4 linked regions of the Arabidopsis thaliana genome follow. The protein of the gene in region 3 interacts with the protein of the main gene of each other region in a pairwise test. Each region holds a gene or a part of one and is shown on either strand. Other genes may lie near its edges.

Region 1 (6,780 bases), on a different chromosome or scaffold from region 3:
TCTACCGACCCATAGACACTAGATTTTTGTTTTTGTTTTTTGTTTCTCTGCCCTTTTAGTGATAGTGGGGTGAAATCTTAGATTATGATTTCTGCTAACACACTATGAAGTAATCATATTCTTTGTTTTTGCTTTTACTTTGATAACGATCTGTTAATAGAAAAGCATCTTAAGTTGCTCATCCTTTAACGGATTTCAAATAGTAATATTTGTTTACATTTTTCCTTAAGCATCTTACTTGTATGTTTTGTTTTCTTATCTTTAACAAAAAAATGAACCCTCTGATATATGCCAGTAAACATCTTAATCTGAGTTCTATATTTGCATATCTACTTACCATTGTGTGTTCAAAAGAGATTCCTTATATTTTGATATCCATAACGTCAAATCAACAAAACCAAAGAGTTTTACTTTGGTTATTCGCAAATTTTTTGGTACAAGTCTTTTAATCCAGTATCTGCTAAATCATTTGGTTTCAAAGCTAAATCGAGACCATAGTATTATTACTATGTGCAAACCGTAAAAGGAGTGACTCAAGAAGCCTTTATATAAACAAACTGTTATCAAAGTAAAAGCATAAAACTAAATAAGATTACTTGAAAGTGTCTGCAGAAGTTATCTAAGATTTAATCTTACTATCTCTAAAAGGGGAAATGAAGATGCTTAAAAGTTCCTATAGATAAGTTACAACAAATCACAAATTCCTTCATTGGCCGGCCTCATATCTCTTTGGTTTCTATACAAAGACCAACCTAAATGAGAAAAATAAGCCCTAAATTCTCTTTCACTGTGTTAAGTCAAAGTAACAATGCCTGCGTTCTGTGGGAATATTACAAGCCACCATAGATATCATTGTTGTTGAAGAAGCCATCTTCTGAGAAATCATGGTCTGTGATCGATATATCTTCTGAAAAATGAAGGTTGTTGTTCGAGGCTGCTTTAAAACTGTTGTTTCGACTTGGAGCTCGGCCTCCTCCTGAGATGTTGGAAGTAGAGGCAGTTGTGTTTCTCTCTGCGTTACTGTTGCTACCACTTTGACCCGAAAAGGCTTGTTGCTGTTGCACACTCCCTCCATTTTCAGACATCTCCTGCAACAGCTGATGAAGCATCTGCTGCTCCGGAGTGTTACCATGTGAATGTGGTGATTGTAACTGATGAGGATGATTCTGCGGAAGTATGTTGGTAGGGCCATTCATGGTGCGCTGCTGCTGTTGCATTTGAGGAGAGTTGGGAAATCCACCTGTAACTAAGTTATGCCTCTGCTGGGATGAAGAAGATGGACTCTGGTTTGAGTTTGGGGTTGGGTTCTGACTCGAGAACCCCTCTTGTTTACCCGTATTTGAGTTTGGGTTATTCATAGCATTTTGCCTCATAAGCATGCTTTGGTAGTTGGTCAGAGCTGCTGCGGCTTGAGCAGAGCCATTCATAGCTCCACGACCAACAATTTGATTGTGATTATTGGAGTTGTTGTTGGCAGTTGCGCCGCTCACCGTTCCTGAAGATATCACCATTTGACCTTCAGCTGGCCCACTCATAGCTCCACGACCAACAATTTGATGGTGATTATTGGTGTTATTGCCCGTTGAGCCATTCATCGTTCCTGAAGTTAACACCATTTGAGCTTGAACTGGCCCATTTATAGCTCCATTATTCCCAAACTGCTCCATCTCTTGCATTTTCTGTTTCTGTAGCTTCACTGTCACCGTCTGTTCCAAAAGCCGTTTCAACCCCTCTACATAAATGACATAAGCAGGTATCATAACATTCAGATTCAGTCAGAACATTTTCACCAGGAGAGTTACAACGACCAGTACATATTTCAAGTAAAAGGTGCACCAGAGGGGAAACCTGGTTTTGGATCTCATTCAAGAAGAATATTGTGGATGGAAATTGTATACTTACCAATAGGACCGATTTTTTGCTCGCCAGTGAAATTCATCAGATCCTTCATGCTCTTGACAACTTCAGATATCTGTCACTCGCATGCCTCAATATTAGGACTTCTTACGACTTCATATACAACAGTAACAGTAAGGAAAGGAGCAAAGGAATACCTGCAGAGTCCTGATATATCTTTTTGGATAGCCAAGATCATTCAGCGACTGTAGTTCCATGAACTTTGCCAGTTGCCGTCCTGCTCCCAAGACCCTGATACACAAAATGGCACCCAGCAATGATAAAAAGCACTAGAAACAAATGCCAGAGTATCGACAATAAAAGAATAATGTGCATTAACTTACATGTTACTATTTGACTGTAAATCCTGCTGAGAAACCCCCTCTGACCCACTCTCTGAGATCGTGCTCTGGCATTTCTGTGCAACCTGAAGCAATTGGTTCACCTGCATGACCAATAAATAAGATTTTAGTACACTTCTTAGCACCGTTGCAGCATCTGTAAACATCTGTTCTGAAGTAAAATAACAGACTTTGTGCTCTATTCATAGGAAACCAGAAGATAAGCTACACAGAAACCGGGTATTAGCTATCCTCAATTTCATAACAAGGGTTTAAGGAAACAAAGTCATACAGTTGACCACAAACATTTTATGTAAAGTCTTAAGTTCCAATTAATAAACGCAAGGGTCGTGCCATTAGAATACCTGTGGAGCAATAAGTCTGCGAAGAAGAAGCTCTTCATGACGCCGAGCGCAAAACTCCCAAGAAAGTATCTAGATAGAAGCAAAGTCAAGATTAACTAAGCATTAGCATACTGGTGCCTGATTTTTTCATCGCTTTACACAATTTGGAACCAGAGAATTGTTCTAGATACCTTCAAATCTTGAGAAAATATGATGCGAAGATGGCCCTCACGGACAACACGAAACTGCTCGTGTACAGTTTCCTGAACTGCTTTTCTATATTCTAACATCATCAGTCCATTGGGAAATCTGTTTTCTCGAGGGTGATCCAGATATAACAGCTCATCAATAATACCACTTGCAAATTTGATTTCAATTAGTCTGGCAAGCACATCAAACGTTGCCTCTGCGGATTAACACGAGAAGTGACAGTTAGCTACTATTTTGACTTAATAGTTATAAACAATAAAAAGAGACCAATTAGCATGTGTAAGTTGCTTCATTGTGCTCAAGTGAAGGCACAGATATATAAGTACACACAAGAATGAAATTTGCAACTAACTTACCAAATCCCTTTCCAGACTTGGTGCCGCAAAGATCACACTGCCACATATCCTGCAAACACAATGAGAAGATGATGGACTTATCAATTGAGAAATCAATGAAGTGAAATTCATAAATAGTACAGGTGGAGAAACCGTGTGTATGGCTAAAGATACAGGGATGCAGAACACTGATATCATAAAAAATCAAAACACCCAGAGCTAAAAATAAACTGACCGGAGCTGCCTGTGGGAACATGCCAAGCGCATGGTGCCCAGCACTTTCGTACTGTGACAAGCACAATCTCTGCTTTGCACGAGGTGAAAAGTATTCTGCCACAAATTTCCTCCAATAGGTAATGCAATTTTCCTAGAAAAGAGGTATCAGCGATGGGTGCATAGATGTGATGAAATAACTGGAAGTCCATAGGTTAGGATTAGCTTACAGCAGGCCGTTGCTGCAGATGATACAAGTACATCATCAATTTCCGAGCACAGACGCCAACTTCATAAGGACGTACATTAGGAGGAATCTGTTGGGTTCCTTGTTGCTGTAACTGCTGTCTCAGCTGCTGCTGTTGCTGAAGTTGGAGTCTCTGAGAGGGTGACATGGATTGAAGCATCTGCTGATGTTGCCTCAGTCTCTGCTGCTGAAGCAAAGCTTGCATCTGCGGATTCCTCCCCGTGGGGTCCTGACGCTGGATCAACTGCTGTAAAATCTGCTGCTGCAACATATCTTCTTGCTTCACTTCTAATCTGGGTTTCTTATCCACATGGGAATAATTGTTCTCCCTCATTGGAACAGAACCTTGTCCTGTTTGCTGTTGTAGTAGTTGCTGCTGCTGCTGCTGAGGTAAGTGTTGCATTGAAGCAGCAGAGCCATCAAGAACCAATGAACCCGGTATGTTAACGCTATTCGAGGAGAAAGACATCGGTGATGTTGGGATACGCATATTATTATTGATGCCACTGCTCCTCTGCATATTTAGAGCTTCCGTGCCAACAGCATCAGTCAATGAGAAACTCGATTCAACAGCTCCCGAGACCACCGTTCTGTTCATGCCCCACCCACGAGAGCAGATAACAGATCAAGCCGTCCAAATACAAGGACTGATTCAGCGGAATGAAAAGCTTGAAACTTTAAACCCTTCCTTTCAGAATCTGAGCAAATAACAAAGCCAAACGGATCCTAAGCAGCTATGGTATACTTTCACCAATCAAACTAAGATGGTTAATCATTCAGGATCCAAGAATTACAAATATTTAGCTGAAGGAAATGAAAACCAAATCAAAGATTGGTAGGCTAATAATCAGAAGCCCTAATTATCAGAAGAGCAAATTCAACATCTCAAAAAGGATAGAACTTACCAACAAAGACTAAAACTTCAAATCCAATCGGCGAACTCAAATCAAAACCCAGAAACTGAAATCGACTTGGGAGTTGCACAAATCCCAAAAATCAGAAATTTGGAAGAAACTCAGTAGAGAGGGAAATTAATACTTTACAGCAGCATTCATGGAAGAAAAAATATCGGCAATGAAAAAAAAAGAGATTTTATTTTTGAGTTCACAAATATTTTACGCAAACATAACAAAATCTAATTTCTCAAGCCAAAAAAAAAGGGTATACAGTAGTACAATAGTCAAAAGCTAGGGACAGTAACAAAAATACTAACCTGAAATTGATAAGAGAATTTTGGAAAAATGGAAGAAAAAAACAATCACAAATTAAGACCTAGTTGTGGAAAAAAAAAACTCTTGATTTATTAACTATAAAATAGCTCCAAATCTTTGACCAAAAAACATACATATAGTATAACCGGTAATAACCGACTGTACCGGTCAACTAGCTCTAAGCGTCACCGACCTCGTGGATCAAACGACACCGACACGTGCTGATGTCTTAGTAGATCTCGTAATAGAAGTGGGACCATAGTTACGTGGCACCATATGAATCGTTCGATCAGATGCAAATCTCCTACCACAAAGAGATAGATAGATAGTTAGTTGTAACTAGGATAAGATAAACATTTTTTTTCATCGAGTTATTGCAATGATTTTTCTCTAAAGTGTAAAATTCTACAAAGATACAATAAAACATCTTAGGCCAATGAATTGAATTATTTGTTATACATATACAGTATACAATTATATGGAGATAAATTTTAGTATCTCTACTCAAATTAGACAATTTGTCTACAATATTGTTATGTGTCATAAACTCGTCCACAACACACAACATTCATCCATTAGGTCCCAATGATCAAAAGTATAGTAGTAAAAAGTAAATCATTGTGGCGACACTTTTTTTCGTCTCAGCCATTTCGAGCTTACTCTGCACATGCTATACATCAACCGCTTCCTAAAACCTACAATTATAAGGTATTAATTTCATAGCTCACAACAAAAGGAACAAAATACATCTTTAAATTCTACAAAAATAAATCTAGAGTTACAACTTCAACCGAGAAAGTCTATCAATGCATATTTCCATTTAAAGTGTGACCTGTCATTGTTAAAAGTTTATTATTGTTGAATAAATTTAGTTAACAATTTCGTTTATCTGTTTTTAATATTATGGGAAGGAGTCATTTTTCACTAAGCATATAGATTTTCTAATGAGTATCCCTATATATATATATATATATTAAACTTCTTTTTTCGGTCAATACAATTTTATAATCTTTCATTTTTTCTATCATTTCATATCATTGTAACTATAAATTTTCGTAAATAGACCTTTAGTGTTAATACAATAGATTTTTATTAATTTTATATCGGATTTTGTTTAAAAAAGAAAAACCATAGGATGGATGATGATTGGTACTTATAAGATTGTAATTGGGTATTTTTGGATTGTTACCACCATTACAAAGCTATTAACAGAGATTGAAGATATCACACAATGAGAGCGCCACAGCTTCAGCAACGTCCCATGCAGCTGATGTGCCTTCGCCTTTCTCTTCCTCATCTGCGCTTATAAATAAGGCAAAGCAACTAGAAAAGATTAAAACCAAAACCAAAACAAAAAACTAGTTAAGACCCTGATTTTGTTTCATAGGTACATACACTTTTCAACATTGATTTTTGTTGTTAAAAATAAAATCCATGTGAAGGTTCTCATCATATACCGAAAGAATGGGAAATTTGAAAATTCCATACTTTTTTAAAAAGACAATTTGTTTTATCACTTTAGTTTTTTTATATATTCAGCGTCTACCAAATCTACACTTTTTTTTCTTTCTCGATTTAGTTAATCTTCGTTCTTGTGTCATGTAATAGATTACTATTTCAAAACATAGATATTTAGTTATCTAAATAAAACTAGGCCATCCATGGATGGTTTCAATTTTTTTTTTCATATGAAAGAAAAGTTAAATTTCATTTCACAATAACCATTGATTACTAAATTTAGTAAAGAATCAATTGGGTTTAGTGTTTACTTGTTTAAGGTTTTTTTTTTTTCTTTTGTTATGGTTCTATACTAATATCAAAGAGTTATGGGCCGAAGCCCATACATCTTTCCGTCGAGAATCTCATATATTCTTTATCGAAGCCCATACATCTTTCCGTCGAGAATCTCATATATACCTTATCCCATTCAACATTCATACGAGCGCCGCTCTAGGGTTTTTGCTTTTCGCCATTGGTCCAAGT
Region 2 (3,142 bases), on a different chromosome or scaffold from region 3:
TTTCGCATCTGCAGGCTTAGCTTTCCCCTTTTACATGGCGTAAGCACCCTATTCTATCTCTCAAATGTTATTTTCTCATCTTGTGGTATGACATTTGTTGTTTACTCTGTCTCATTTGGGTTGCAGATCTTCGAAACAACCAGTTATCGATCCAACAAAACCATTACCTCCTCAAGCAACTTTTAGAGGACCTTACATAAACACAGGCTCACGCGATGTTGGACCTGATCATCGAACTTACCCAAAGAAATGATCCAATCAAGTCAAAACAATTACGCAGGTGTTTTCATTGTGAGCTTTGTATTCATAAGATAATATCGTTTTGTAGTTTGTTCTCCAATCCATTTAAGTCGTTGTCCTTCATGTAACACCAGTCCAACTTAACCATTGAATGTAACTGAAGAAACAGATTTATTCCTGCATAAGAACTTGATTTTTGATTGTCTAAAAAGTTTTGAGACTCAAAATCACATAACTTGGACAATACTTCTCAAATCAAAGCTTAGATATATACGCAATGAGAATCACTGTTTCAATTTTTTTTATCTCAGTTAAAGTGGAGCTCTTTAGATTCTAATCAAAATTAACAGATTTGAGAAATTGAGCAATGAAATTGCAATCGAACATTGGAAAATTAAGTAGATTTCATAGCCGTGCCATAAATTAAAACCCTAATTCCCATATTACATAACCCTCAAAGATACCCAAAAGCATAAACCCTATTTCACATTCCAACTACTACTACTACTTCTCCTCCATTACAAAACCACATTCCAAATCTAAGAACTCGTAAACTTCGTAACCGCCTTAGTCCCTTCAGAAACAGCATGTTTCGCCAACTCTCCAGGCAACACAAGTCTCACCGCAGTCTGAATCTCCCTAGAAGTAATCGTCGGCTTCTTGTTGTACCTCGCAAGCTTCGAAGACTCACCAGCAAGTTTCTCAAAGATATCATTGATGAAACTGTTCATGATTCCCATGGCTTTGCTGGAGATTCCGATATCTGGATGAACTTGCTTCAACACCTTGAAGATGTAGATCTTGTATGTCTCAACGTTCTTCTTTGATCTCTTCTTCTTCTTGTCTCCGGCGCCGGCTGGTTCCTTCGGGAGTTTCTTTCCGGCTTTTGGTTTCTTCTCTGCCGCTGCTGCTGGTTCGGCTGCCGGAGTTTTCTCTGCCGGTTTCTTCTCCGCTGGTTTCTTATCTGCCTTCGCCATTTTCAAACTTTTCTAGGGAGTGAGTTTTTTTTGCTGTGATGGTTTTGATTTGATACTGTTATCTTCGAGAATTGTGTGTTTGTTTATATAAGAGAATAGGAAGAGATCTGATTAGTTAAGATACTGAAACGCGGATGCGTGACGTGGAGATATGAGTGCTGTTCGATGAAGGGTTTTGGTGAATGGATGGTTCAGATCTATTTTACTTTAATGCGCGAGTGATTTTAAATTTCTTTTTCGAAATATTGAAAAATTCGAATTTTCTGTTGCGCTTTTTGTTATCCGCCATAAGTTCATGAAGCGGCAAAGAGAGAAAAAGTTTTTGGCGTGGATAGCTGACGTGGTTACTTTTGATCCGTCTACCAATGAACGGCTATGATTTTACCGTATCTACAAAGTTGGTAACAACTTTTTCCTATCTAACATTTTTATGGAAATGAAGAACTAATGCATAATTATAAGTTTTCAACTCTTTCAAAATTCTTCAAAAATAACCAACTTTTTATAGATACAAATTTTGAATTTCTCTAAAATACAAACATTTAGTTCAGCTTAATAAGTTGGACTCATCTTAATAAGTTAATATGTAGTTGTATTTTAACAGAGTTAACGATGTTTCTTATATTTTCTTAAAATTCTGCATGATATATCAATAGATAGTTGTTGATTAATCTGAGAAGTGAGAGACGTATTAAACATAAATTTTGATTCTCACTGATTCCACATATTTCTGAGATTAGTGAAAATCTATGCATGATACCCATCAGAACCAAAATCATTTGTAACATTAACGTTAATGCACAAGTCACTATGATACAAATCTGTATATTATCTTATCTTTGTGACATTAATTTAGAGAATATAGAAACTCGTGAAAAGAAAAAGAACAAAAAAAAGAGAGGGAGTGAATGCACGTGTCATTTCTTGAGATATCGTCTATGAAATCTCTATAGACCTCAAACTTCCTATGTTCTTACTTTAGGGTGATTGTCGGCGGCTTGGACGACCCATGTGCCGGTACGTGGCCCAAAAACAAAGAAACGTGGCTCATCAGCTTGTCTTTCCTAGAAAATTTAGTCCCACAAGAGCAAACCCACTTTATATCCCCACAATGCTTCTCGTGTGTCCTAAGATCAGACAGAACCGAGAAATGCTTCACACTACATCTCCTGCACATATACATTTTGGGACAATGACTCCTCTTGTAATGATTCTTGGCGCAAATCACAGATTTCAACGGTTGAAACTTCTCGTGCCTCTGGTTCCATCTACACCCGTGTTGAGGACAGGAGTAGTAATGTTTCTTTAACGAGTATCCTCCTTTCTTGTCTTGGCTCGTTGGGCTGATCAAGGCCTCACGTGTCTTGTACTCATCCCCGTGCGCTCTCATGTGCATCCTTAGATTAGCGTCTCTCTTAAACCCTTTCCCACAAATCTGGCAGTAATGCGTGTATTTCGCTAGTAGGTCCGCTACGTCTAGCTCCAGTATATCGTAGCTCCCGGAACTTGGTTTAGAACGATGTTTATCTTTTTTAGGGTTTATGGTTTCGGTGTTGTACCAATCAAGATTCTGGTCGGGAAACGAGATCTGCCCTCTTTCTTGGACACCAAAAAGGTTGGTCGACTCTTGCACAAAATCATGACCCGGGTCGGTTTCTTGTCGGGAAAACTCCAAAACCATTGCATCTACGGTTTGATCATTATCGATATCGTTGTTGTTGTTGTTAGATCCGATTTGGAGTTGTTGGCAAGTATATAACATGGATGAAGCAGCCGTGATGATCTCTTGAACCAAACTTCCGATGTTAGCCACGGCCAAAGACGTTGACCCCGAGGATTGGTTAATGTTATTAGTAGATACCATGTAGAAGCTGACCAGAGATTGGATCTGATGGACTTTTTCATGTAAGGTAGATAGATTGTAT
Region 3 (7,893 bases):
GTTGAAATGCTTGGTTAAGGCGTAACCGTGAGGAAAAGTGGGAAACCGGAATTGATTAAACCGGACGTATTAACTTGTAAGAAGGCGAAAAAAATAAATTGGTTGAGTAAACTAAATTAAATGAGGTTCACCTGTCATAGGACAATTTATTTATGTCTGCCAACTGCCCAGTTGATCTCATCCAACATAACAATAAAAATGAAATCAATGTACATTTGATGAATTCAATAAATAAATAATATCGATGTATATATATATGCACATGAAATGAAATGTATATCTTATTTCCGATTAAGAAAATGAGCAAACGATTCTAGTGGGCGCCGATGGTGAAAAAACCTGAAATTGATGAAAATATATACTACAATTGGTTCATGTACTTTGTCAAATAATAATAATTGGTTCATGTTCTAAAAACCAGACTGATCATATTCGTAGAATGCAATCATCAGTTCACCATATGTATATGATTCCTCATAAATCAACCTTCCATGGATTTATAGCAAAAAGAACAGTGTGTTTCTCTTTTAGTGTATTTTCATAAAAGACGTACCATAAATGAATAAATTGTGTCGTTATCAAAAAAACAAAAGTTTATAATCGTGGCTGTTTTATTTTTCCTTTTATAGTTGAAGGACATGTCTACTACAAAGCCATTAATAATATGAGGGCTCTTTTGCATTATTCAAGCCCTAAATGTGATCTCATTTAGTGAAAAAAAAGTGATCTCATTTATTATGTCATTAATGGCTCAAACCAAACACATATTAAACCTTTCATTTTCCAAACTAACAAATAAAGAAAAACAGATAGGCTTATACATTATACATGCATCACCCACATAGATTTAGATTATTAAAAATTTGAGGTTGACTGGTTTGAGCTGTGAATGTAATCTTTTATTTAATTTGGACTGTTTGTTGTTAGAATAATGGTTGGGACTTAAATTTTAAAGTCAACTAGTGATTTGAAAAAAAAACGAGGCTTAACAAGAATATTTAACTAGTTAATCTAGGGCTAACTTGTTAGTAAGAAATTTAAGAAATACGTTTAATACTTCATAACACTACAAGTGTGGATTGTTCATTTCACATCATAAAGTACTAAAACTTCAAATTAAGTGCCAAATGAATATCCTATGCATTTTTTTTTTGTAAAAAAATTAGATTGGTTCTATTGAGAATATGCATGCAATCTTTTGGTTACAGACCTCTAGTTAAAGGATTTTAATTAGTTCTTATTTTCTATTTAGAATTTGAATTAGTTTCATAAAACATATGCAGTGATCAGTTTATAAGGTCAAATCTCACCCTCAAAATACAAACATATTTCACGAGTTTGCCCAAAAAGAAAGAACTAGTATTTGACGCAAGTTTTCATTTTGAACCATTCGTAAGCTATAACTAGAAGATTAAATACGGTAGAATAATGAATGTATTATGGGAAAAATGTTAAAAAAATCGCCAACTTTTAAAAATGGGACAAAAAAATCGCCAACTCCTGAAATGTCATTTAAATCATATACTTTTGGTTGACTTTTCCAGAAAGATAATAAAGCAAAGATTCGTAATCAACAAAACTTTGCTCTGTTATCTTTCTAAAGAACTCAATCAAAAGTATGTGATTAAAACGACATTTCAGGAGTTGGTGATTTTTCATCCCATTTTTCAAAGTTGGCAATTTTTTTGACATTTTTTCCAATGTATTATTGAGTGTAGCTACATGAAGTATGAACCATTTATCTTGACATAGCATTGCGTACTTTGAAAATAATTTCTTTACTAATAAAAAAACCTACACTTTTTTTTATAATAAATTTTTTCACTCTGTTTAGAAACCATGAATTGGCTGCTCTAACGATTCAAGAGAAATTTCGGCCTACCTTCGAGTTGACTTTAGATTAAAAGTCAATCACAGGCCCAAAAGTAAGCCCATAACTAGGTCCAAATATCGAAGCCCATGAATAAACTTTTTCATCGAATCCTAAAGCTAAGCATCAAACCAAACATCCGATGATCTCTCCAAACTCATCAATCTGATCTATCTCTCTCTTCCAGCTGTTTCATGATCGATTTACTCTTAACTTACAGCTGATTACAATTCACTGTAATCTCTCAAGAACCCTAGATTCTTTTTTTTCCTTTTCAATTGTGATCCGTCAGGTATGTGAATTCGATTACTTTCTATATCAATTCAACGAATTCCAAAAGTCATGTTCGCGTATAAGCAATTTAACCTTGTCGATTTCTTTATATTTTCTCTGTATGTGTAGCAGCAATGCTTGATCTTTAAATTTACTGATATCTGAAGATCGAATTAGGGTTCTGATCTACTTGATATTTATTTGTTTGGGCTTTTATTCAGGTTAGTGTCTGTTTATTAAAACAATCGAATTATTCTGAGTTCATATCATTTCTTTGGATTGAAGATTTGAATTCCTTTTATAGCAGCTCGATCTTGGGCTGAAGCTATGGCTCAGAGTAATTGGGAAGCTGACAAGATGTAAGTTAATTTTGTATTCAATAAAAGCTTATTTTTTTTCAATTCCTTACTTTGATATCTTTGTGTTTTTGTAGGCTTGATGTTTACATATATGATTATTTGGTGAAGAAGAAACTTCATAATACTGCTAAGTCGTTTATGACTGAAGGGAAGGTTTCTCCTGATCCAGTTGGTAATATTACACTTTCTTTGTTCCACTTTGTTCTTTCTTAATTTTAAGTTTTGATATGTAATTGTTTTTTGTTGTGTGAATGATTAGCAATTGATGCACCTGGAGGGTTTCTTTTTGAGTGGTGGTCTGTGTTTTGGGACATTTTCATTGCAAGGACGAATGAGAAGCATTCAGAGGCTGCTGCAGCTTATATAGAGGTGAATGTCTTCTACTAACATCTGGGAATATGTTTTGTTAGTTTTGAATTACGTAACTGACCAGTGGTTTTGAAATTTTAGGCACAACAAGGTAAAGCGAAGGAGCAGCAAATGCAAATACAGCAACTGCAGATGATGCGCCAAGCTCAAATGCAGCGTAGGGACCCTAATCATCCTTCTCTTGGCGGTCCAATGAATGCTATTGGTTCTGAAGGGATGATTGGGCAGTCTAATGCTAGTGCTTTGGCTGCTAAAATGTACGAGGAACGCATGAAGCAGCCTAATCCTATGAATTCTGAGACATCCCAACCTCATCTTGATGCAAGGATGGCCCTTCTTAAATCAGCAACAAACCATCATGGGTAAATTGGCTCAGCTTCTTTTTTGCTGTCGTTTTTCTAGTCCTCATACCTCTGACCCCTTGTTGTCCTTTCTTTTTTTTTCTGTCCCTAAACAGTCAGATTGTCCAAGGAAACCATCAAGGAGGTGTTTCGGCAGCGCTGCAGCAAATTCAATCACGAACTCAGCAGCCCACTGTAACTACTACTCGAGCACCTTACTTTATACTGTTCAAATTTTCTAACAGACAAGTCTCCAATCAGATATTTTGGTGTACATCTGAATCTCTTGTACGTGCAGGAAATCAAAACTGAAGTTAATTTGGGTACATCTCCAAGACAACTGCCAGTGGATCCTTCTACAGTTTATGGCCAGGGAATTCTGCAATCAAAGCCTGGGATGGGGAGTGCAGGTAAATATATCAATGTATTGCATTGTAGAGTAATCGCTCACCGAAAAGAAAATGGTGGTAAAATACGTGGTAGTATGCCTTCTATGGCAATTAGTTGACTATGGACTCCAAAATTTAAATATTACTTCCCTGTTATGTGCAAAATCATGATGAATTACATAGGGTGATATGCTAATGGCATCACGAGAATCTTTTGCTTACAATTTGTATAAATTCTTATGGTGTTGTGTTTGTCCCTTGTGAAGGATTAAACCCTGGAGTGAGTGGTCTTCCTTTAAAGGGATGGCCATTAACTGTAAGTCTCTGTGGTTCTTCTAAGAATTTATTTGTTTGTCATTCCAAGCCCAGTATTTTGCTAAGTTTCTTGACAAATGTTACAGGGCATCGAGCAGATGCGACCAGGTTTAGGAGGCCCTCAGGTTCAGAAATCTTTTCTACAAAATCAAAGTCAATTTCAGCTCTCGCCGCAGCAGCAACAACATCAGATGTTGGCTCAGGTTCAAGCGCAAGGAAATATGACTAATTCACCCATGTATGGTGGTGACATGGACCCTCGAAGATTTACAGGATTACCTAGAGGAAACCTTAATCCGAAAGATGGCCAACAAAATGCAAATGATGGATCTATAGGGTCCCCCATGCAGTCAAGTTCGTCAAAGGTAAGACTTTCTCAAATTACCAATAAATGCATATCCCTGTTGGATGCAGTGGAATCTGTTGAGCTGCATTATATCATCTTTTTCGGGTAGCAGAGAAAAAATGAAGCATCTCATTTTTTCTGTGTTCCGTTAAGTGGTGTAATTGGATCATTACGTCTGTCCTTCTATGCATTTTTTCTGATAATTGCTCGTCTATGCTTTAAAATTGTACTCTTTTGGGTTATCGTCTGACTGCTATACTTTCCATTTGGAAAATGTGTAAGGTAATGTGTTTGTGTTATCCTAATGTAGATCTACATAGGTATCAGAATTTTGTTTTTTCTTGTTAACCACATGAACCCAATAATAGAGAAAACTTATCCGCAATTAGTAGCTGATTACTACCAAACATGGGGACTTTACTGCTAAAATTTTATCAATCACATTTTTTTCTTCTGATTTTCTCTCTTTCCGTTGCTTGTTGGTCTATAGCATATCAGCATGCCGCCAGTACAGCAATCTTCTTCTCAGCAACAAGATCACTTACTATCCCAGCAATCACAACAGGTACTTTTATGTGGATCCAATCCCTCAAGTCTTATCAAGCATGTGGTTTTAACCAACTGAATATATTCTTTAGTGTCTGAGATGATTGAGCCACAACTTCCTTTTCGTGTATCTGATAGAACAACCGCAAAAGAAAAGGGCCTTCCTCTTCTGGTCCTGCTAACAGCACAGGGACAGGAAACACTGTTGGCCCATCCAACTCACAGCCATCGACTCCGTCAACGCATACCCCTGTTGATGGAGTTGCTATAGCTGGTAACATGCACCATGTGAATAGCATGCCAAAAGGGCCAATGATGTATGGTTCTGATGGGATCGGTGGTCTTGCATCATCAGCAAATCAACTGGTATGTTTCTTAATTTCTCAGAAGAATGATAACGACAATCTAGTTTTCCTCCAATAACATCTGGATACAGCATGCAGTTGTGTTGTGTGAAACAAGTGCTTTCTTAGCAGCTTGAATATTTTTTTTATATCCCATGGGGCCGTGTTTCTTTCAGCTTTCTTATGACAAGAATTAATAGCTGCAGGATGACATGGACCAGTTTGGAGATGTGGGAGCTCTAGAAGATAATGTAGAATCATTTTTGTCCCAAGATGATGGAGACGGAGGAAGCTTGTTTGGCACCCTAAAGCGGAACTCTTCTGTGCATACCGAAACCTCAAAGCGTATTCTAACACCCCAAGGATAAGTATGATACAAGTAGACGATATAAATATATACTAACACGGTCCTTTTTCTCGTTTCAGCTTTCAGTTTCAATGAGGTTAGTTGTATAAGAAAAAGTGCCAGTAAGGTCATTTGCTGTAGCTTCTCATATGATGGGAAGTTGTTGGCTAGCGCTGGACATGATAAGAAGGTGCAACTTCTTAATTTCTGAGATACGGTTTGCTTATAAACTTGTCATGGCCCTAAAACAGCTATAGATCATTTATAGGTAGGTAACATTTTGTTTGTTTAAAAACAGATAATGTGGATGCAAATTTATTTTTGTCAGTAGGTATTTATATGGAACATGGAAACACTACAAGTTGAGAGCACTCCGGAAGAACATGCTCATATCATCACAGATGTTCGCTTCAGACCGAATTCAACTCAACTGGCAACGTCATCATTCGACAAAACAATCAAAATCTGGGATGCTTCTGATGTATACTAATTTAATTTGTTTCTCTTTTATTTGTTGCAATTTTTCGTGTTCTGCTGTGACTAACTACTACCAATTTGTGCAGCCTGGTTACTTCCTACGAACAATTTCTGGTCATGCTGCACCTGTTATGTCCATTGATTTTCATCCTAAGAAAACCGAGCTTTTATGCTCCTGTGATAGCAACAATGATATTCGCTTTTGGGACATAAACGCCTCTTGCGTTCGTGCTGTAAAGGCAAGCCCCTGACCTTTTGTATGGTTTCTCTGGGATGTGAACTCTGTTTGCTAATCGTTGAATTTTCCAAGCACAGGGGGCTAGCACGCAAGTACGTTTCCAGCCAAGAACAGGACAGTTTTTAGCTGCAGCGTCAGAAAATACTGTGTCAATTTTTGATATTGAAAATAATAACAAACGGGTCAACATTTTTAAGGTAGAGCTGAAGATGATATATTGATATTTTTGAATTCCCCGGGTCAATCCACATAAAAGACTAAAAGCTTTGTTTTTTACTTTTAATACTTTGAATCTTCAAAGTCCAGTGCATTTTTCTTGTTAGATGCATTGGGGCATATGTTTAGATGTCGTAAGTGTTGATCGTTACTCATGGCTTTATTTACTTTTGATCTGGCAGGGACATTCCTCAAATGTACATTCTGTTTGTTGGAGCCCAAACGGAGAGTTGGTGGCGTCTGTTAGTGAAGACGCTGTAAAATTATGGTCACTGAGTTCAGGAGATTGCATCCACGAGCTTAGCAACAGTGGAAACAAGTTCCACTCTGTTGTTTTTCACCCTAGCTATCCCGATCTCTTGGTCATCGGTGGCTATCAGGTATAACCTATATCCCCATTTCTCAAACAAATAATGTGTCAAACAATATCTAGTCTTATGTTCAAATGTGTGATGAGGTGAATGTGTCTCTCAGTTGTTTTAACTTTGGTAAACGAATCTGTGACAGGCTATAGAGCTGTGGAACACAATGGAGAACAAATGTATGACGGTAGCAGGCCACGAGTGTGTGATCTCTGCCTTGGCTCAGTCGCCTTCGACGGGAGTGGTTGCGTCTGCAAGTCATGACAAATCCGTAAAGATTTGGAAGTAGAAATATTTCTATGTTCGTCTGAAAAGAAAAGGAAAAAAGAAGAAATAGCAGAGAGCTCAGGACTTTTTTTGGGTCTAATTTTTTTTTTTTTTTTAATGTTACATTAATAAGTTGGTTTTTTTTTTAAATTGGGTTTGTTTATGTCAAAAGCAAAGAGACTTGTGATATTTCCAATCTTTGTCTAATGATCCTACTTCTTTACTTCGTTGTTTTGATCTCTAGTGTTTAGAGTGAAAGAGAGATGTAAGTAATTTCTCTAGACCAACTACATTGTTGAATAATAATTTCTTATAATCAGCCAAACGCTTGTTTTTAAGGTCTCTTTACGAATATCTTATAATGACACTGCATACATTAAGTTGGTTTAAGATGAATACAAAACTCTAAGCATGCACATTGAAAGTACTCGTACGTTAAAACTTAGGATTAAGGATGAGTTTATTATCTGCTTAGGCTTAAATTGTCTTTGTTCTGGGTTACTTATTGAACTTCTAATATAACCGCATCTTTCTTGAATGACTCTGCCTCTCTTTCAAAATTATTTGTTTCAGCATCACTGTAACATTTATTGTAAAAATAGTTTTTTTGGGTTTGAATAAATTTAACTTTCAACTCAAAAAAAAAGAAAAACTCGATATTATATATAGAAAACGGAAATGTGAAACATAAGGAGAAGTAAAAAGCACGGTTACGTTTGTGTTTGTTTACAATTTACAAACACGTCTAACTTGGAAAAACTAAAATAAATGTACTTTTTTTTTTTTGGTCTAAAATAAATGTACTTTTTTCTTAAACATGAACTTATTTTTTGTA
Region 4 (5,426 bases), on a different chromosome or scaffold from region 3:
CTTAGTTACTATGAGTTCACAATATAATACTTTTCTTTAGGTTAAAGCTCTCAACTGTTGATGAAGTACAAGAACTCAAAATTGTGAATGAAAAAAAGGGACATCATCCAATATCAGGCGTGTACATATTAGCATTGTTGTGTATCTTTTTATATTATAGTCCATTAGTCCTAATCGATAGATGTATTTTTTTTTGTTTTATTAGTTATAAAAACAGACATCTATTATTAATTTGTTATGGTTAATTGGTTATTGTATATTATTATAGTAGAAGTGACGTGAGGTACCAACGTATTAGATTATAAATATAAATAATGGCCAAAGACAAAGCCATTTGTCAAAACTTCAACGTCATTATAACCTGTAAGATTAAAAATGAACAATAAGAAATCATATTTAGCAAAAAAAAAAAAAAAAAACAATAAGAATCATTTGTCAAATCTTCAACATCGTTACAGTGTATAATTTATATTTTGATTTTTTGTTCTAAATGATCAAAGTTCATATATAAAGTTATTTATATGCTCAAATTTAATCATCGAATATATATACAATTTGTCTATGTTATTTGTCAAAGACAACGTCAGCAATAGTTCCATATACTCTCTTTTTCTTTCGGAGTCTTTATATTACTCACGGAGATATTAAATTATATTTATTTTTTCACTGAGATATTTTTTTTTTTTTGGTTTAATGTTAATAAACTCACTGAGATATTAATTAATACATGCAATCTTTATCTATATTTCCCATTTTTATTTGTAAATGTGTCCCTTCTCGTGTTATGCGAGGGTCTTTTTTTAACTTTTTAATTTCTCATTTGGAAGCTTTCATCTATAAATATATGCACTAGCTTATTCTATATATAACATAAAACCGAAAAAAGGTTTTGTTCACGATGTGGATTCTCTGTTCACGAGAGGTTTTGTTGAAAAAGAAAGAAAGAAAATAATTCAACTTGAATTTGGAAGTTTGGTTACAGATCACATCATTCGACAATAAAAATAAAGACATATATAACAATTAGAACAGTAACTAATTTGAATTTCAGCTTCGATTTCTTACGAATCACATGGGGTCAATAAGGGTGGGGCTAGAAAAACACGTACGTTTGGAGACCAATGTGTGTATCATTCCTGCATGCGCATCAGATGTGTTTCACTCTTCAGAAAAACGTTTATTTTATTTTGCATGTCACAGTCGTAGCTAATTATCCGTACGCATCTTAATTACGACTCCATTTTACACACCAATTTATGGATATATAATTCAGACAAGATGAGTTCTCGTTTAATTTTACTTCTTTCCATTTGTGGAAGTTCATATACTATTGTGAAAATTTGAAAATAACTGGTGAAAGAGGAAACGTCCATATTTGTGGGCTCTATTTATAATAATAACAACAATATTAATTGTTTAGGTAAAAATTAACAGAACTATTTTGAATTACAATCGGAAAAAGGTTTGCGTCAAAAAAGTATTGATGAACCATGCATTTGATATAAGCATTTATGTTTGTTCAATTTACTATTAAGCAATTAAGTCGAATTTTATCGAATCATTTTAATTTTTACCTTTAACATTTCTGTGATCTTGAAATCTTTAAATTAACAATGTGAGTTATATACACTAGAGAAAAATAATTGCATTCCACTGAAAACCTCAACATCTTGGGAAATTTAAACTTAATCAAAGACATCGCAAATGTTGCTTATCTTTTTATCAAGCCCAGCCCACATATTCGCGGCCCCAAAGCCCAAAGGTTAAGCTGACTCGTTACAAAATAAATAAGTATTAATAAAGGTTTTTGATTGGCTTATTTCGGTTTAAATTTAATACCATATCTTTCGGAAGATCACGTGAGACACATGTGACATCCAACGAATAGCCAATCGCTGAAAAGTGAAGACTTTTTGTTACCCCATAAACAAAAGCATCATCTCTCTCTCATCTTTTATTTTTCTTTTAGAAACCAAACTTTTCAGATTTCTCTCTCTCCATTTGGCGATAGAAGAAGTCATGTACCAATCATCATCCTCCACGTCATCATCATCGCAGAGATCATCGCTTCCCGGCGGCGGAGGACTGATCCGTTACGGCTCAGCTCCGGGATCGTTTCTAAACTCTGTGGTTGACGAAGTCATCGGAGGAGGCTCATCAAACGCTCGTGACTTCACCGGCTATCAACCGTCGTCGGATAACTTCATCGGTAACTTTTTCACCGGAGCTGCTGACTCATCCTCGCTGAGATCCGATTCGACGACTTGTGGAGTCAACAACTCATCCGACGGACAGAAACAGCTAGGCAATAACAATAATAATAATAGTAATAAAGATATCTTCCTCGACAGATCCTACGGTGGATTCAACGAGATCTCGCAACAACACAAGAGCAACGACATCGGAGGAGGAAACAGCTCAGGATCTTACTCTCTCGCTAGACAACGTAGCTCTCCCGCCGATTTCTTCACCTACCTCGCCTCAGATAAAAACAGTTAGTCCTTTTTTTACTCAAGAATAGTAACTGTGATGAGATATATATATTTAGACAGACAAGTTTACTCATTTTCAGACCATTTTTCCTTAGAATTTGCCAAAAATCGTAATGTAGAATATGAGCTATATAGTTTTCAGTCATTCAATCATTCATTGCTCAACTAAAGATCCGTTTTTTGGTGAAATGAAAATCTAACCACGAGGGTATTTTCGGTATTTCTCACTGTGAAGTATCTAGTTTCTTACAAGTTAATTAACGACTATGTATATAAAATAAGTTGACATTGTGAGCTTTGATATTTAGGGTCGTTGCTAAATTAGCTTGGTTGGTACTTGTGCAAGACGTGATCCTCGTATTTTCGGAATGACGAAAATACCATTTGATCCCTAACCACGTGCTTGAAAATACAGCAAAAATGTGGCTCGGTTACCCTTAATTTGGGATATTATTTAAATCTTCGAGGATTCCTATATCTCAAGTTGCATTTATTTATTTAGAGGATGGATTTTTTCGTTGATGACCAATAGTTTCTCTGCTGAGATGGCGAAATATCATTGGTTGTGATGAAGATTATTCAAATAGAAAGCGATGTAGATCTAGTTGGTGGATCTGATCTGTCCACTTTTATATTATTTTTTCCTTGGTCCTGATGATTCGTGCTTTGCTTCGTTGTTATCTAATCATAATATCTTCCACCAAGCCTGGATGTGACTTCCCACACCTAACCGGTCACCGGCCTGAACCGGAATTCAACTATCCATATTATCCAAAAATCCCTCTTTATTTACTTACATTATATGGTTTCTAATATTTTGGATGTGAATGTGAATTATTTTTAAAAATAATTTTCACGTAATGTCATTATAATATAGTTTACTTTGTAAATCAGATTTCTCGTTGAACCAACCAACCAGTGATTATAGTCCGCAAGGAGGGTCTAATGGGGGACGAGGACATTCCAGATTGAAGTCTCAGCTAAGCTTCACGAATCACGACTCTCTGGCTCGGATCAACGAGGTCAATGAGACCCCAGTCCACGACGGTTCAGGCCATTCGTTTTCTGCGGCTAGCTTTGGTGCAGCCACTACTGATTCTTGGGATGACGGTTCCGGTTCGATAGGGTTTACCGTGACTAGGCCCAGTAAACGATCCAAGGACATGGACTCTGGTCTCTTTTCGCAGGTACAATTTATTTGTTTCCATGTGGGATTCCTTTTTTTTTTTCTTCATGTGTTATTACTATAAACATGCTACTTTAGTCAAATTATATGAAATTTCAAAATTTCTAGAAAAGGACAAAAAAATGTAAAATATTTGTTTTAGGATAGACATAAAAAAAAAAATTAACTAGTAAAGGTAAATGCAGCAAAACTCTTTAGTGGCCATACATTTTTGTTGGTGGCCAATTCTTACCGAATATTTTTATCACTGGTTTTGCAGTATAGTCTTCCTTCAGACACTTCAATGAACTACATGGATAACTTCATGCAGCTTCCAGAAGATTCTGTACCCTGCAAAATCCGGGCCAAACGCGGCTGCGCCACCCATCCTAGAAGCATCGCTGAGCGGGTCAGTTATAAACACTTTTTAATTTATTTAGCGATGGATAATTAATTCACTAAATTTAGCAACAAATTTGATCGTCCCTAATCATGTAGACCCTATTCTTTTTGCCATCCTCCTATCTTAACCTATACAATATGTTTATATTATAGGAGAGGAGAACGAGAATAAGTGGGAAGCTAAAGAAGCTACAAGATCTTGTCCCCAACATGGATAAGGTTACTTTATATCAAATATATATAGTATATATGGTAACATCATTTTGAAAAAGTGTTCATTACCTCACACACTTGTTGCTGATTTTCTTAGCAAACAAGCTATTCAGACATGCTGGATTTAGCTGTACAACACATCAAAGGCCTTCAGCATCAACTTCAGGTTCCCTTATCTTACTTTTTCTGTTTAGGTCAGCTGAATCCATTTCCAGAGTTCTCTCTAGTTCATGATCCATATTGATACATAAACACATTTTCATATACAAACGCAGAATTTGAAAAAAGATCAAGAGAATTGCACGTGTGGGTGCAGTGAGAAACCAAGCTAGCTCAAACCCAAAGGTAGGGTCATCCTAATTTTATTTGCATTGTTCCGATTTTATCATATGAGAGAATTAGAGAAGATGTAAATAAAATAGATTATATTAAATGTCTAATCCTCTTATAATTAAGCTCCTCATTCGTTATCATTATAAGATAGAACAGTGACAATTGTCCATTATGTTTTTGTTTCAAGTTTATGTTTTGAGTGTCGCCTATTTTGTAAGGATTATGCTATGAATTCTGAAACTAATTCGAGTTATGATCATAAGCAAAGCAAGCTAGCATCCATTATATATATGACTTTCTAATTTGATCTCTCTTTTCTTTATACTTCTTCATAAATAGTTCCTGAATTGAATATTGAAATTAAAGGTACGCTAATTTTTCTTATTTTTAAAATTGAAGAAATGGACCAAATACCAAAGTTACTTGAACCAATGAAAACATTAATAAGCAGAATTCACGTACCAAAGACCAAAGTGAATCTCGTTGATCATATAATGAATTATGATATATTTAGTAGTAGTTAGAAACATGCAAATAGATATAGGTTGATATGAAAATTGGCATAAAATGTATGAACCGGAATACTATTAGTAGCATTAACTTTCCTATTATTAACAAAACTAGCGTGTATGCACGTTACAGAGAAAGATTTATTCTTTATTAGAGATGAAATTTCTTTAGTTATACATACACTTTGGTTTTGTAAGTTAAAAAAATATAACTCCCTCCTACGTTACCAAGAAGTCCACCAACGTGGTGGATTTTAAAATAACTAACCAAAAACACAAATCAGGGAAAAGTCGTAAATTAAAACTGATAAT

Evidence for each region.
Region 1: the proteins of LUH (region 3) and SLK1 interact in a two-hybrid assay, tested with the Arabidopsis thaliana proteins (one study listed by BioGRID).
Region 2: the proteins of LUH (region 3) and HTB2 interact in a two-hybrid assay, tested with the Arabidopsis thaliana proteins (one study listed by BioGRID).
Region 4: the proteins of LUH (region 3) and AT1G05805 interact in binary tests that used the Arabidopsis thaliana proteins (3 or more experiments, as listed by UniProt).

Annotation. Positions count from the first base shown.
Region 1 is NC_003075.7:13,031,620-13,038,399, forward strand, and holds SLK1 (SEUSS-like 1), read right to left. Parts: upstream 4,853-6,780; 5' UTR 4,492-4,852; exon of another isoform or gene 4,285-4,491; 5' UTR 4,185-4,284; coding exon 3,570-4,184; intron 3,494-3,569; coding exon 3,362-3,493; intron 3,197-3,361; coding exon 3,148-3,196; intron 2,988-3,147; coding exon 2,773-2,987; intron 2,672-2,772; coding exon 2,603-2,671; intron 2,342-2,602; coding exon 2,241-2,341; intron 2,149-2,240; coding exon 2,055-2,148; intron 1,973-2,054; coding exon 1,903-1,972; intron 1,733-1,902; coding exon 831-1,732; 3' UTR 538-830; downstream 1-537. UniProt on the Arabidopsis thaliana protein: Probable transcription regulator that functions in the development of the carpel margin meristem similarly to SEUSS (SEU).
Region 2 is NC_003076.8:7,651,351-7,654,492, forward strand, and holds HTB2 (histone B2), read right to left. Parts: upstream 1,365-3,142; 5' UTR 1,218-1,364; coding exon 780-1,217; 3' UTR 518-779; downstream 1-517. Other genes in the region: AT5G22875 (uncharacterized protein), read left to right, coding at 1-39, 127-253; AT5G22890 (C2H2 and C2HC zinc fingers superfamily protein), read right to left, coding at 2,191-3,142. UniProt on the Arabidopsis thaliana protein: Core component of nucleosome. Nucleosomes wrap and compact DNA into chromatin, limiting DNA accessibility to the cellular machineries which require DNA as a template.
Region 3 is NC_003071.7:13,864,765-13,872,657, forward strand, and holds LUH (LEUNIG-like protein), read left to right. Parts: upstream 1-2,007; 5' UTR 2,008-2,162; exon of another isoform or gene 2,163-2,275; 5' UTR 2,276-2,364; intron 2,365-2,447; 5' UTR 2,448-2,470; coding exon 2,471-2,502; intron 2,503-2,576; coding exon 2,577-2,674; intron 2,675-2,761; coding exon 2,762-2,871; intron 2,872-2,952; coding exon 2,953-3,233; intron 3,234-3,328; coding exon 3,329-3,407; intron 3,408-3,510; coding exon 3,511-3,679; intron 3,680-3,867; coding exon 3,868-3,917; intron 3,918-4,002; coding exon 4,003-4,281; intron 4,282-4,752; coding exon 4,753-4,827; intron 4,828-4,946; coding exon 4,947-5,174; intron 5,175-5,352; coding exon 5,353-5,497; intron 5,498-5,578; coding exon 5,579-5,688; intron 5,689-5,829; coding exon 5,830-5,979; intron 5,980-6,061; coding exon 6,062-6,214; intron 6,215-6,290; coding exon 6,291-6,410; intron 6,411-6,611; coding exon 6,612-6,809; intron 6,810-6,936; coding exon 6,937-7,080; 3' UTR 7,081-7,393; and 1 more. UniProt on the Arabidopsis thaliana protein: Transcription repressor subunit of the SEU-SLK1 and SEU-SLK2 transcriptional corepressor of abiotic stress (e.g. salt and osmotic stress) response genes, by means of an epigenetic process involving histone modification (e.g.
Region 4 is NC_003070.9:1,742,824-1,748,249, forward strand, and holds AT1G05805 (basic helix-loop-helix (bHLH) DNA-binding superfamily protein), read left to right. Parts: upstream 1-1,620; 5' UTR 1,621-2,019; coding exon 2,020-2,494; intron 2,495-3,386; coding exon 3,387-3,679; intron 3,680-3,937; coding exon 3,938-4,066; intron 4,067-4,212; coding exon 4,213-4,278; intron 4,279-4,369; coding exon 4,370-4,438; intron 4,439-4,547; coding exon 4,548-4,604; 3' UTR 4,605-4,911; downstream 4,912-5,426.